2 linked regions of the Caenorhabditis elegans genome follow. The protein of the gene in region 1 interacts with the protein of each later gene in a pairwise test. Each region holds a gene or a part of one and is shown on either strand. Other genes may lie near its edges.

What was found.
Region 2: the proteins of spe-42 (region 1) and spe-41 interact in a two-hybrid assay, tested with the Caenorhabditis elegans proteins (one study listed by BioGRID).

The regions. Positions count from the first base shown.
Region 1 is NC_003283.11:11,733,039-11,738,657, forward strand, and holds spe-42 (Dendritic cell-specific transmembrane protein-like domain-containing protein), read right to left. Parts: upstream 3,959-5,619; 5' UTR 3,931-3,958; coding exon 3,845-3,930; intron 3,800-3,844; coding exon 3,668-3,799; intron 3,617-3,667; coding exon 3,512-3,616; intron 3,465-3,511; coding exon 3,401-3,464; intron 3,351-3,400; coding exon 3,258-3,350; intron 3,211-3,257; coding exon 2,993-3,210; intron 2,921-2,992; coding exon 2,731-2,920; intron 2,687-2,730; coding exon 2,279-2,686; intron 2,223-2,278; coding exon 2,079-2,222; intron 2,029-2,078; coding exon 1,900-2,028; intron 1,845-1,899; coding exon 1,584-1,844; intron 1,537-1,583; coding exon 1,399-1,536; intron 1,142-1,398; coding exon 1,026-1,141; intron 979-1,025; coding exon 827-978; intron 784-826; coding exon 695-783; 3' UTR 502-694; downstream 1-501. Other genes in the region: npp-22 (Nucleoporin ndc-1), read right to left, coding at 1-6, 54-313, 356-432.
Region 2 is NC_003281.10:3,438,474-3,445,806, forward strand, and holds spe-41 (Transient receptor ion channel domain-containing protein), read right to left. Parts: upstream 5,735-7,333; 5' UTR 5,718-5,734; coding exon 5,674-5,717; intron 5,521-5,673; coding exon 5,424-5,520; exon of another isoform or gene 5,376-5,423; coding exon 5,214-5,375; intron 4,766-5,213; coding exon 4,672-4,765; intron 4,620-4,671; coding exon 4,488-4,619; intron 4,380-4,487; coding exon 4,096-4,379; intron 4,043-4,095; coding exon 3,913-4,042; intron 3,796-3,912; coding exon 3,568-3,795; intron 3,403-3,567; coding exon 3,170-3,402; intron 3,125-3,169; coding exon 3,011-3,124; intron 2,557-3,010; coding exon 2,387-2,556; intron 2,337-2,386; coding exon 1,982-2,336; intron 1,936-1,981; coding exon 1,849-1,935; intron 1,747-1,848; coding exon 1,666-1,746; intron 986-1,665; coding exon 632-985; 3' UTR 538-631; downstream 1-537.

The DNA of each region.
Region 1 (5,619 bases):
GGGAGTCTGAAAAAGAGAAATGTCCAATCATAGAAAAATAAATAAACGTCAACCTTGAACTGAGCTGAAAGGGGCCCAAATCGTGAGTTTCAAAATGGATACTGTGACAATGAAGAAAATGGTGGACAGATATCCGCATGCAGCACCAGCTAATCTCTTTCTAACACTGATTTCCGCTTGAAACCAATCCACGATTTGATCGAAAATTGTGATTGGCTTCTGTTGAACACGCGGTGAACTGACTGTGCGGTTTGGGGACCTTCGCAAGTTTGGTGAAGATGATGAACTGCTTGCAGCGGGAAAATCGTTCTTTCTATAATTATTCTCATTGTATGAATCTTTACTTAATTGATACCTTCTTCCCGGAGAAAATTGATTATATAGATGTTCATCTGTCGTTGTTGTGAATGAAGAATGACTATCACCCATCATTTCTGAAACAATAAATCAGTGAATTAGAGTTCCAAACGGGAAAACCCATAAATAACAAATAAAATGAAGTTTAAATGATAATTTATTTGAATTCAATTGGAAAATAATCATTGAAGTTCGAGGAAATAATAAGAAAACTAATAAATGAACGAAATCATTTCGAAAACTGCGCCAAAAGGCAAATAAATTTGAACTCGAAAAGTACATTGTCATTGGAGCGCGCTTTCCCCAACGGCGGGAAAGTTAATTTTTCAAACATCATTCAGACGACAGTGGTTACTGCGGTGGTGGTTGTTCCTTCTGTTGGTTCTTTGTCAGGTTCGTCGTCTTCGCGTTCACTCAATGAAATATCTGGAATAGATGATTATTAATGTTTAAATAAAGTTAATTTTACCTGAGTCATCAATAATTGCGTTACTCTCCTCATAGTATAGCTCAATCCCGTTAATACATTGCATTTCCTCCTCGCATTTCACACAGAAAAGAGTCACTGAGAAACAGTTGATACAGTAAAAAGCACTACAATGAACACACACTCGCACATTTCTGAATTAATAGCTTTGTTTTCTTGATCATCAATAAACAAAACTAACTCTTGATCAGACACTTTCATATCGTACTTTTCACATTTTACACAATCGGAGCACACGAATCCACGACTTTGCATTGTTCTCCGAATTATGACATCTTCACCACCCACTACATCTTTCTGTCAATTATCAATGTTACGAGTGCAAAAATTACTTTTAAATCAAATCGGAATGTCAAATTCAGGAAAAAATATATCTGTTTTTGAATACTATCAATTCGCAAAATCGGGATTTATCACTCAAAAAATACGGTACCGGTGACGTAGTGATGTAGTAAGTAGTACTGTAGTGGCTAACTTTTTTTCAATGTTTAAGTTGTGAATATCGAGGAATTGAAAATATTTCAGTCAACTCGAGACCGGAAATTCCCATTTACCTTATTATTTCCTAACATTTCTGTCAGCAAATTTCGTCGACTTTGTAAAATTTTGTTATAAAGGCTCAATGCACGAATTCTTACTCGATTCGGAAAGAAGTAATCTGCCAATACAAGTGTTTGCCTTCCAAAATATGCCTTCAAAAATTAAATATATCTTAACAGTACTCCTCAACTCTTCAAACCTTCAATCGACAAAGAAAAAGTGCAGCGATAAACATGAGAAACATCACCATATTTTCTGTATAGTTTGGAGGATTTGGTTCGTTGAAACATCGTCTCCAACGATTTTCACGGTCTCGAATACTTTTAGTAAATGGACTGAAAACATCGAGAAATTCATTCATCACATCTGACATTGAACTATTTCCAGCAACTTTCAATTCATAATGAGCAGGAGTATCGATATTTGTTCGGTTCATTAAAGTATGAACAGTTGATAGAGTCTGAAACTTTGAATCTATAGATTTGAAGTCAATATAATTTTATTCATTTAATTACCGTAAATATACCATAATCAAGCATACACATAAAGAAAGGAGTGACACAACTGACAATTGTGATGAAAATATCTAATCGAAATTTAGGTCGCTCTTGTTCTGTCATTTTCCACTGACCTCGACTGACATACTAAACGGTGTCTAAGATTTTTAGAATGATAATGAACCAGAGAAACCTACCTGCTTTGATTCATTTGCCATTAATGGCATGACTTTACGAGCTCCGCGAAATGCACAATCTTGATCAATTTTTGTAAATTCTTTTGTGAGAAAACGGTTTTTAAAGTCGTCATTATAGTTGTAGTTATACATGAACCGAAGTGTCTGAAAAATATCAGTTCAAAATTTTGTATGTTAACATATTACTTATTTAAACTCACATAGATGAACGGCCATATGAGCAATCCTGGCATGATACAATATCGAAGAATAAATGAAATTATATTGATAATCCGTATGTATACATTCACAATTCCCATCAAACTTTTCTTTATACTTGCTCTCAAGTTTGCAGTTGTATCATCTGCAGCATTTGGTTTACCATCATCAGATGACTGGTATTCAGCTCGAATGTTTTTCGCCTTTTTTATCTCTTCTATCACTGGATTCACTTTCTTCAGTGCCCATTTTGCTGCTTCAATGTGTACGTAGAAAATCTTTTTCACCGCGAATTCAATTGCTTGAAAGTAAGCTGCATAAAATGGTACAGCTGCTCCTTTAACTCCTTTTCCAATGATAGAAGGTAAAGAACATACTTCCGTTGAGAAACCCTTTGCTTGATGGCAAATCTTAATGTTTTATAATAGGATTGATATGTTGACTGATTGAATACCTTTGCAGTTTTCTGAATCATTTCACAAGCATCGCCGTGGCTTCCAAAAAATCGAGCTTTCCCCTTACAATAAAAATATGCGTCGTCGAAAATATCAAGACATTTTGTATAGGGAGTTTTGAGCATATTTCGACATTGATTTGACAAGTTGGCTATAACTCGATAATGTCGCCTCATGATGTCCACAAATCTTAATTGAAACAATATCAATTTAATCAAATTACAAGAATTTGACATTTTGGGTATCCCAATTGCAACTTACTTTGTCATCTTTTCATCTAGAACCAATAGCATTTTCTTGACCTTATTCATTGGACCAGATACATTTTGAAGAAGTGCACGAAACCGAGAAACAAGCATAGCTCCTTTATCCATTACATTCCCTTCCACATCATTTCTTGAACTCATAACATCAATTTGAACGCAGGCAACACCAGAAGCTACTTGATGAATATTTCCAATAACATTCATTGCAGGACCCTGAAATTAGTTTGAGATGTTCCCGTGAATAGATGAATTGATAAAACTTCAAAAGCCATTGTGACAAGAAGAATTAAAATTATGTTTTTGATTTTTGTAGTCAACATGACGTGGATAGAAATCATAAAGTACGTCATCATCTGAAACGAAATATTTTATTAATTCCACATAAAAATCCTGAAGTACTTACTTTTGGAAATATCAAAGTGAAAATCAGAAAAACGTGGATAATTGTGGATATGGAAGTTCCAATACTATATTGAAAATATTTAACTTTAGATTTAGGATATGATCTACTTACAACTCCGGGTATTGTGAATATTTGAACGACAACAGAAAATACATAACTATTCCAAATAATTCAATCATTAGGATGTTTCGGAATAGAAGTACAATAGAATTAGCTCTGGAAAAATAATTTTAAGATTTTCTTTTTTCTCAAAATAATTCCAAAAACCTTGTTCCATCTTCGAATAAATTGTCATAAATCCCATCATCTTTTTCCTTTTTCCATGGAGGATATAAAACGGACAACCATTTTTTCAAACGTTCAGAATATCTTAAAACTCGGTTTTGACCTGATTTTTCTCTGAAATTTTTCATGTGTTTGAACAAAATCCACACTCTAACCAACCGTCTGATATTATTAACCACAAATTGAAACTTTCTCACAGCTCGATTGGCTCGACGTTTTACATTCCATAATCCAATTAAGCCCATAGTTGATACAATTCAGTTAGATTTTAAAAAGGTGAAATAAATATTTTCACCATGATACGTTTTGAAAATTTGTGAACCGCTGGCAAACAGATTTGAGTTCACGTTTTGAACATTTTCTCCGAATTGGGAAACTGCAGGTGTCCCTTTTCTCGGCTTTGCTTACTAAAGAGCCAAGAGAGCCAAACGGATTGGCATTTGAGACCTATGTGATTCAATAGCTCATGTTTTGAAACGGTTATACGTGGAAAAGTTAGAATAAGGTTTTCAAGCAAAATGTGCCTACTTGTGTGCCTATGAAACCAATTATTTCGAATTTTTCAGAACTACGAGCTTCAATGGAACTATAGTATACACTAACTATAGGATATACATCTCTCGGAACCGCTGGCAACAATATTAATTTTTCAAACATTTGTGAACTGAATTACAGAATACACGTTACCAAAAGTACATCGATTGTTTATTTCTTTTTATCACCAGAAGTACATCTGATTTCGGAACAGGCGTTCACTAATTTTCGTTGCTTCATTGCAATGAAAAAAACGAGTTGCTTATCGTAATGCTTGTTATCATATCACTGTATCTATTGCCACTTCATATCTCATTTCCTCTTTTTGTAGGCCGATTTGGGTCAATCCGATATAGAGAACACCTATAAACAAACCCCTTTTTTTTCATTTTATGACGTGAACATTCAGATCCTCAATAAAACGGATGGGTGTGGTTATGTTCTTGTCCCCTCGAACACAACTTTTAATTGTATTTCTAATTCTCTGAAGAATTTCAGATTTCTGAAGAGAAGAATTCAATTGTACTGTCATTCCCGTCCCTTTTTGGGGCTTCCGACGCAATGTTGCCTCTTTTCAATAGATACGACGAATAAAAAAAAACAAAAAACAAAGAAAATGATTTTGCTTCCGATTGCTCACCAGGCTTCAATCTATACTGTACATTTTTCCCCAATAAATATAAAATTTGGATAGTAGAGAGACAGAAAATCAAAAAAAAATATATCGTAACTTGTATATTGTTCCATAAGAGAGACGCACAAAAGGATATATTTGATGGTGTGTGAAACCCGAAATCGTCGTGGTTACCCCCGTTGTCGGCGACAATTTCAACAGACTTTTCATACTGACTGGTTTTCGGTCGACAGTCATTTTTCACCCACTTTCAATTTGACTAAACTTGGTCAGTGTTCGGTTTTTCATTGGTTACACAACCTTAGATTTTTTATTCTTTGTGTTTGATCCCTGATTTGACTAGAAAACATTAATTTGCTTGTTTGATACTCAATTTCCCATGTGCCAGTTTAATTTTGACAGTTGTAGGAATTCCTGGTTTCGTTAAAAATTAGTATTTCAACCATTGATTTGTTTTTGAAGGTATCTGTTAATCTATCAAGAATTTATTGTAAGAAACCACAAACTCGCCAAAATCTTGGTTTTGTATTTATTTTTCATATTTATTTTTTGTATTATCTATTTTTTAAACTCACTTTCTTACTGACTTGGCTTACATAAATAAAACCGTTCAAATTAGATGATAGATGACTTTCAAGAACTTAAAATTGGCAGAGAGTTACCTTTTTCAAAATGATGCGTATAATTCGGCACAATTTAGTTTTCAACACAATACAACATAAACAAAAAGTAAACAAAATTTTTAAAAGTTCGTCAATTATCAATT
Region 2 (7,333 bases), on another chromosome or scaffold:
TCTCTGTTCTTCCCCTTTCTATCTCTCTTTCAAATCCATTTCCAATCGTTTACGATCATAATTATTGACTTGCGAAGCCAAGAGGAGGCTGTAACAAAAGTTGGAAGGGCGGATTCATCGATGATCGACGACAGCAATTTGGAACTGGAATGGGAACTATTTGAATCGGGTGATGATGATATGATGGGGAATACGTATAGTTAGAGGAACATGTATGGGTATTGTTGCGTACATGCATACCTTATGATTGCCTACATGCCTACATGAAGGGCCTATCTCAAGTCTGCCGACATCCCTAACATCAACTGGCTGCATATATGCTTATCTGAAGCCGGCCTGCCTACCTGTTCGCCTGCCTATCTTGAGCCTGTTTGTCTATTTCTTACTGATCTTAAACCTACCTACCTCCCAGCTTGCCGATCCATCACATCGAAGCTGCTTGTTAGCTCGCCTGCCTGCCCACCTGCCTGCCTACCTCCTGCTCGTGCTTTGCTGTATTTTATCTATCAGAATTGAATAGCAAATAAATCACAAAAGTTCCAATTTCTCGATTTATTTCAGTTCGAAGTCATAATAAACACAATGGATACATAATTAATATTTTCCGCTTAAAACAAAAACTCCGATTGCTTCAGACACCGAGGAATGTGACGTCGCGAGCTCTCGGAATGCTAGCAGATAATTCCGAAGACATAACCTGTTTAGAAGATGGAACTGGAGAATCGATTCCAGTTCTAGCTAGAACCGGGTTGTTTTGAGGTTTGTCATCCTTCGGAGCCACTTTAGTTCCTGCATCAGCTGCAGCAGCTGGACCCGGTGTCTTACTCTTAGGCACATAATACTGGACAGTGGTGTATTCCTTGTATCCTTCAGCTTCCATGGTTCGAGATGACCTCATTTTGAATCCTTCGAAAGTGTTGTCCATAAGGAAGGAATGGGCTCCGGTTGTGAGGAATGTCACTCGAGGCGGTTGTTTTTCCTCTCTCTGAAAATTCCATAAATTATATGGAAATGCATGCCTGCCTGCCTACGCCTGCCTTATGTCTACACAAGTACCAACTGAGTTAGATACGGTCGTCGGTAGACGTTTTCAGACTACAATCGGAAATAGGCGGTAGGCAGGCACGTAGGCAGGTACGCAGAGTTGAGGGGGGCACGTAGACTTTGAGGCATACTTGTATAAGTCACGTAAATAGGCAGCCAAACTTAAGGTAGGCACAGGCAGGCATGTTTGAGGTGCCTGCCTGACTTTAAGGCCCACCCCTCTAGTACCCAGGCCTGCATGAAAAGCTCAACAAACCCAAAAATGTTATTCCTAAACCAGCCGTGGACCGCACCTCCGGCGCGGCCCCCGACTTCTGGGGCTGAAAACTAACTTTTCTGAAACTACCGTAACCCTACAGTATTCCTACCGTACCACTATTGTACCACTACAGTACCCCGACTATATCCCTACACTAACCCCAACTCACTATCCCCACAGAAGCCAAAACTTCACAGACTACAAAGACTACATAGACTACAAACTATGGACACACAGAATAAGCGCTTTATATATAGTAAATGAAATGGTTTCGAAATTTTCAAAGGCTGGTGCAAATGCGCGTAAACTTCTTTCCAGACCTACAGTATACCGCATGCCTGCCTACGCCTAGCCAAGCTTACATGAAATTCGGATCTCCAAATCGACTTGTACTTGCACTCCTTGGAAGCAACGAATCGAGCGAAAACCACCATCAGAAGTTGCTGAAAATACACAAAATTTTATGTGTCAGCTCATTGTACAAATAGGCAGCAGGCAGGTTCGTAGGTAGGCGTGCCTGCCTACAACTCAAGCTTCAGACTCACCATGTACTGCTCATCTGCTGCCTGATCCTCAACATCATCATTTGCCGGCTTCTCGCCCCACGCCGGTGAAGCATAGTATCTCTTGAGCTGAAAGCAGAGGTTTTTGAAAAATTCCAATTCGAATTCAACGTACCAAATTCCGATGCACAAAATGAGCAACTACAAGAATCAAATTAAGCGGTGGCGGAGCCGCCATTTCCCACGAGAGAAACTCGGAATAAATAGCTGCTCGTGTGAATTTGAACTCCATTTCCTCATTATCCAACACCTCATCAGCTCCTTTCACAAGTATCGATGTCATCAAATTGAGTACTGTAATTATCAGAATTCCGTGATAAACAGCAGCGAGAATTTCGAAAGTTGACGAGTTCAAAGTATGTTTCACAGGATCCATGTTTGGACCAGTGTTTCCAACAACTGTAGTGAATGTTGAGGGTCCCAAGTAACCGAAAATTGACCAGAACAGGTTTTTAGAGGATGTTCCAATTCTGAAAATATATATGTTGTCTCAGATAAAATATAGAAAAAAAGAACTGACGTTTCATAAGAATCCGTGGTCTTTGTATAATCCTGATCTCCTATTTTCATGGTACTTCGATTCAAGTATGGGTCGACGATAATATTCAATCCAACAGAAAACGAAACGATGATTGCGACCATGATGAGTATGTATGTGTACGTCTTCCCAACACATTTTCCGACAGATATCTGGAAAAATTAAGTTTACTGTAGGACTACTGTAGTGGTACTGTAGGATTACTGTGATATTACTGTGGAACGAGTGTAGGATTACTTTAGGATTACTGTAGGACTATTGTAAGATTATTGTAGTAGCACTGTAGGATTATTTTAATTTGGGAACAACTTAGTATTAGACATATGAATGAGTAGTGTAGGAGGACTGTAGGACTACTGTATAACCACTGTATACTTGCTGTAATGGCACTGTAGGACTACTAGGATTACTGTGTTGGGCACTGTAGTAGTATTGTAGGGATACTGTAGCGGTACGATGACTTGAAAATATTCAGTTTCCCGCTGCCAAAGCACACACAATAGACAGTAGGTAAGTATCTGGGCAGGCTGTCTGCCTATGTAGCTCAAGAGACTTTTTTTGTTTTTGCGGTCAAAACATCGAATTCTACGCGCAAACTCCACTTACAACAGATCCACCGATTGATTTCATCATCTGAGCATAGTAAAAACATTTTAAAATACTCAGCACACAGGCGATCGCAAGACATATCTCATGGAGAAGTGAGAATTCGAAAGATGGCTGAAAATTTCAACTAATTAATTATTCAAAAGATTTCAGCCGAACCCAGTGCATTCTGTCAACGGAACTCGGATCGAAAGCTTCTCGTTTTCCCCATTTTCCAGTAAAAAATATCAGTGAAAACAAGAAAATAAAGATCAAAGCCGCATCGAACCATCTCCACCAGAAGGCAAAAAATCCATCTCGTCCGACTCTATAGAATAGAATTCCCTTCTCCAGAGCTAATCCCATCACATAGGCGTACATGAAGATTTCGAGTGCTTGTACAGTTACTTCAACTGAAAAAATTTCAATTTCACAAAAAATGTTGTAAGCTTAAGCCCGATCTTAAGCCGAAGCCTAAGGTGAAACCTTAAGCCTAAGCCTACGCCTAACCCTAAGCCTAAGCTTAAACCTAAACCTAAACCTAAGCTTTTAACTATGAAAATTCAAAATCCACTTACTACTATCAGTCCATGCAAAGTAGAAACCGATTGTTGGACGGAGAATTGCGGCGATGAGGAAGACCAAGTACATTGTGATGTGAGCAATGAATCGAGCAAGTGGAACGCACATTGTTGTACCCTTTGTTGGCATAAATGCATGAAGCATCACAAGGAATGGCATCAGGATACAGGCTCGCAGAAAACGCCAAGCATCTCGTTTTGGCTTGATTCCATAGTTGTACCAGTCTGAAAAGTGTATGAGGTCAGCTATAAGGCCATTAGAAAGTCTATGGTAGGTAGGCACGATTACGCCTCATCATCGCCTACGGCTCGCCTCAGGACTTCACCCTCAAAAACAGTTACCTGATCTGAAGACAGACTTAATAGTTGTCTGTGAATTGGTGGAGCACGTGAATTGTCTCATTTGAGAATCCATAGCCATTTGAAGACGCGGTGATGAGATTTCAGTCATTCTTTCCGGGCAGTAGTTTCTCTGAAATTCAATTTAAATTCTCCCAATATCTAAAATTTAACACAAATTCTTACATTAGCAACCATCATATTGAACTCGTCGACTCTCCATGCTTGATCTGAAATTCTGCACAAAAACCGTTGCACATTCATCTCGAGGTCTCGATAGGTTTCCACGTATTCCAGCTGATCATCGCTCGCCAATTGTTGAAGGTCTCGGGCGACAGCACACGTGGCAGCGAACACGTCATCAGTTGCCAGCCACAGGTAGGCTTCAGAGGACAGTGCACGCATGACGTCGACGAGGCGAGTTGATGAGTGGGTTGTTACGGTTTCCCGTTTGCAGGTTTTGCATTCACCTGCAACACTTTACCATTTTTGCGCGTAGAATATGGTGCATTCGGTCCTACCGACGCATGTTCGCTCTTTTGCAATGTTTGCGCGTCAAATATGATGTTTGAACTCACAAGTAATGAAATGTGGTATCTGAATACAATGTCCTCTAGTTATAAGACACTGAACAATCGAAAAATTATTCAAAATGCATGCCAGCATCAGTGGAGTCATATGTGGTGGAAAATGTGGAGAATTAGCAGATCCTGAAATTAGTGTGATGCAAATGCGCTTTAATACAAACTTCCTCACACTTACCACTTCTTTCAAGGTATGGTGCATCGACGAAAAGTACGAGAACAAACTCGACTAGTGGACGACTTCCGACGGCAATCGATAATAGAAGAGCTTCCTGTAATTCAAAAGGGCGTTACAGGACGTAGGCAAGCGTATGTGTTGTAGGCGGGTGCAGGCTATCATAGGTGGATGTAGGCAAAGTAGGCGGTCGTAGGCGGTCATAAGCGAGTGTAGGCGGGCGTTAGCAAACCTTACCTGGTCTTGAGAGGTCTTTCAGGGGTGTAGGCCGGCGTACGCGGACGTAGGCGGATGTAGGCGAGTGTATGCGTTGTAGGCGGGTGCAGGCGTTCGTAGGTGGATATAGGCAAAGTAGGCGGGCGTAGGTATGCGTAGGCGGACGTACGCTTTCGTCGGTGGATAGCCAGCCTTACCGGGCCTTTAGGCCTTTAGGCGTTGGCTGCCGTATGCGGGCCGTTATCGGGCCATTAGAGGGTCTTTAGGGTGTAGGCGGTAGGTGGGCCGGCTTAGGCCGGCCTTTAGCGGTCTTTCAGGCGTTGACGAACTTTAAGAGATTCTTCAGAAGATGTATCCATTAGAAGACTTTGAAGAGAAGAAAGGCGACCATCGTCCGGGCCATGTGGAAGCAAAATGCCCAAAAAAGATCGTACTTCAGAGTATAATTTGCTTTTCACAGCCTTATAGAAGTAGGCCATGGCTTGCAGAACCTGAAATTTATCTATTTGTCCTGTAAAATCTGATAAAGTCCTGCGTACAACTTGATCATTTTCATGCCATTTCTGATGACCATCGTATCCTTCATTATTGTCTGCGTCTACACCTCTATATTTTCCAAGATACTCTTTTATTGCGCTGAAAAAATGTAAATTTGTTGATGAAAACTTGGGTCCTGACACGAGCGAAACATCTCGTCTACAGTACCCGATGGTTGGCGCCGTGGAAGAGGTTTCGCACGGCCATTCTCCCATTTCCAAGGATCCTTGCAAGGCGATTGAAAGCACTCACCTTAATTTTAGCCTCGTAGATTCCTTCTTTTCCTTTCCCACCATTTTTGGAAAACGAAAACCTTGAAATAAATATATTGATTTTTTTTCACTCCGACATTTTTTTCCACGTATCCCTCCCCCCTCAATCCAGAATATAGCGGCGGTAGAAAAAAGTTCACGCCAATTCAAAAATTAAAATGTTTCGTTTTTTATTGGAACACGGGAAACTTTTTTTTTAGTTTATCTTTTATATTTTTCAAAATCTAGATGAACGCAAACGCGCTCCACCGTACAAACCGAAAATTGCCCAGTCAGGAGATTTTCAATCAAACTACTATTCAGTACTAGAAAAAAGAGAGCATTTTCTTGGGCTCTATAGCAGTGACGCGCACAGTAACATGATCAAATTCTCCAGTCTCTTCAGTCTCAGTCATCTTCTGCGTCTCGATGGCCACATATGGTGCAGGTGTACGAAATCGCTGAATAAAATAAGATACTTAGAATGAACCGTTCAAGCCAAGAAGAATGCCGCCCCAAAGATCGCTCAATACCAGCAGATCATCGAGACCCTTGGATCCAGTTAAATCCATGAAAAATCTGGTTTGTTTGAGATAATAAAATTGTTTACAATCCAATCCAAAAAATTATTAAGAAACTTTATTTTATTGCCATAATCAATTTACTATATATAAAGCGCGTGTCGTTCTGTCCCTATGTAGTTTGATCTTTGATCTTTGGTCTTTGAACTCTGTAGTTTGTAGTCTCAATCACACAAGAGGGGTCACATAGGCCCCGCCCCTTTTGTGACGTCATCACAAATTGGCGGGAATTCAAATTTTCTGAGAAAATATTTTGGCGGGAATTCAAAATTTTAAATTTTGAAAACATTTTGGCGGGAATTCAAAATTTAATTTTTTGAAACCATTTTGGCGGGAATTCAAAATTTAATTTAAATGTGTCATATCAATTTAAAATGTCAAGGTACTGTAGTGTTTTAGGGGTACTGTAGGATTACTGTAGGGTTACTGTAGTTTAGGAAAAATTGATTTTTAAACATTTTAAGAGGTATTGGCTTGGAAGTTGGTAGATGGTAATGTCAAGGTACTGTAGTGGTACTGTAGGGGTACTGTAGGGGTACTGTAGGATTACTGTAGGGTTACTGTAGTTTAAGGAAAATTGAATTTTAAACTTTTGAAGAGGTGTTGGCTTGAAAGTTGGTGGATGATAATGTCAAAGTACTGTAGTGGTACTGTAGGGGTACTGTAGGGGTACTGTAGGATTACTGTAGGGTTACTGTAGTTTAAGGAAAATTGAATTTTAAACTTTTGAAGAGGTGTTGGCTTGAAAGTTGGTGGATGATAATGTCAAAGTACTGTAGTGGTACTGTAGGGGTACTGTAGGATTACTGTAGGGTTCCTGTAGTTTCAGGAAAATTGAATTTTAAACTTTTGAAGAGGTGTTGGCTTGAAAGTTGGTGGATGATAATGCTAAGGTACTGTAGTGGTACTGTAGGGGTACTGTAGGATTACTGTAGGGTTACTGTAGTTTAAGAAAAATTGAATTTTAAACTTTTGAAGAGGTGTTGGCTTGAAAGTTGGTGGATGATAATGTCAAGGTACTGTAATGGTACTGTAGTAGTACTGTAGGATTACGGTAGGGTTACTGTAGTTAGGAAAAAT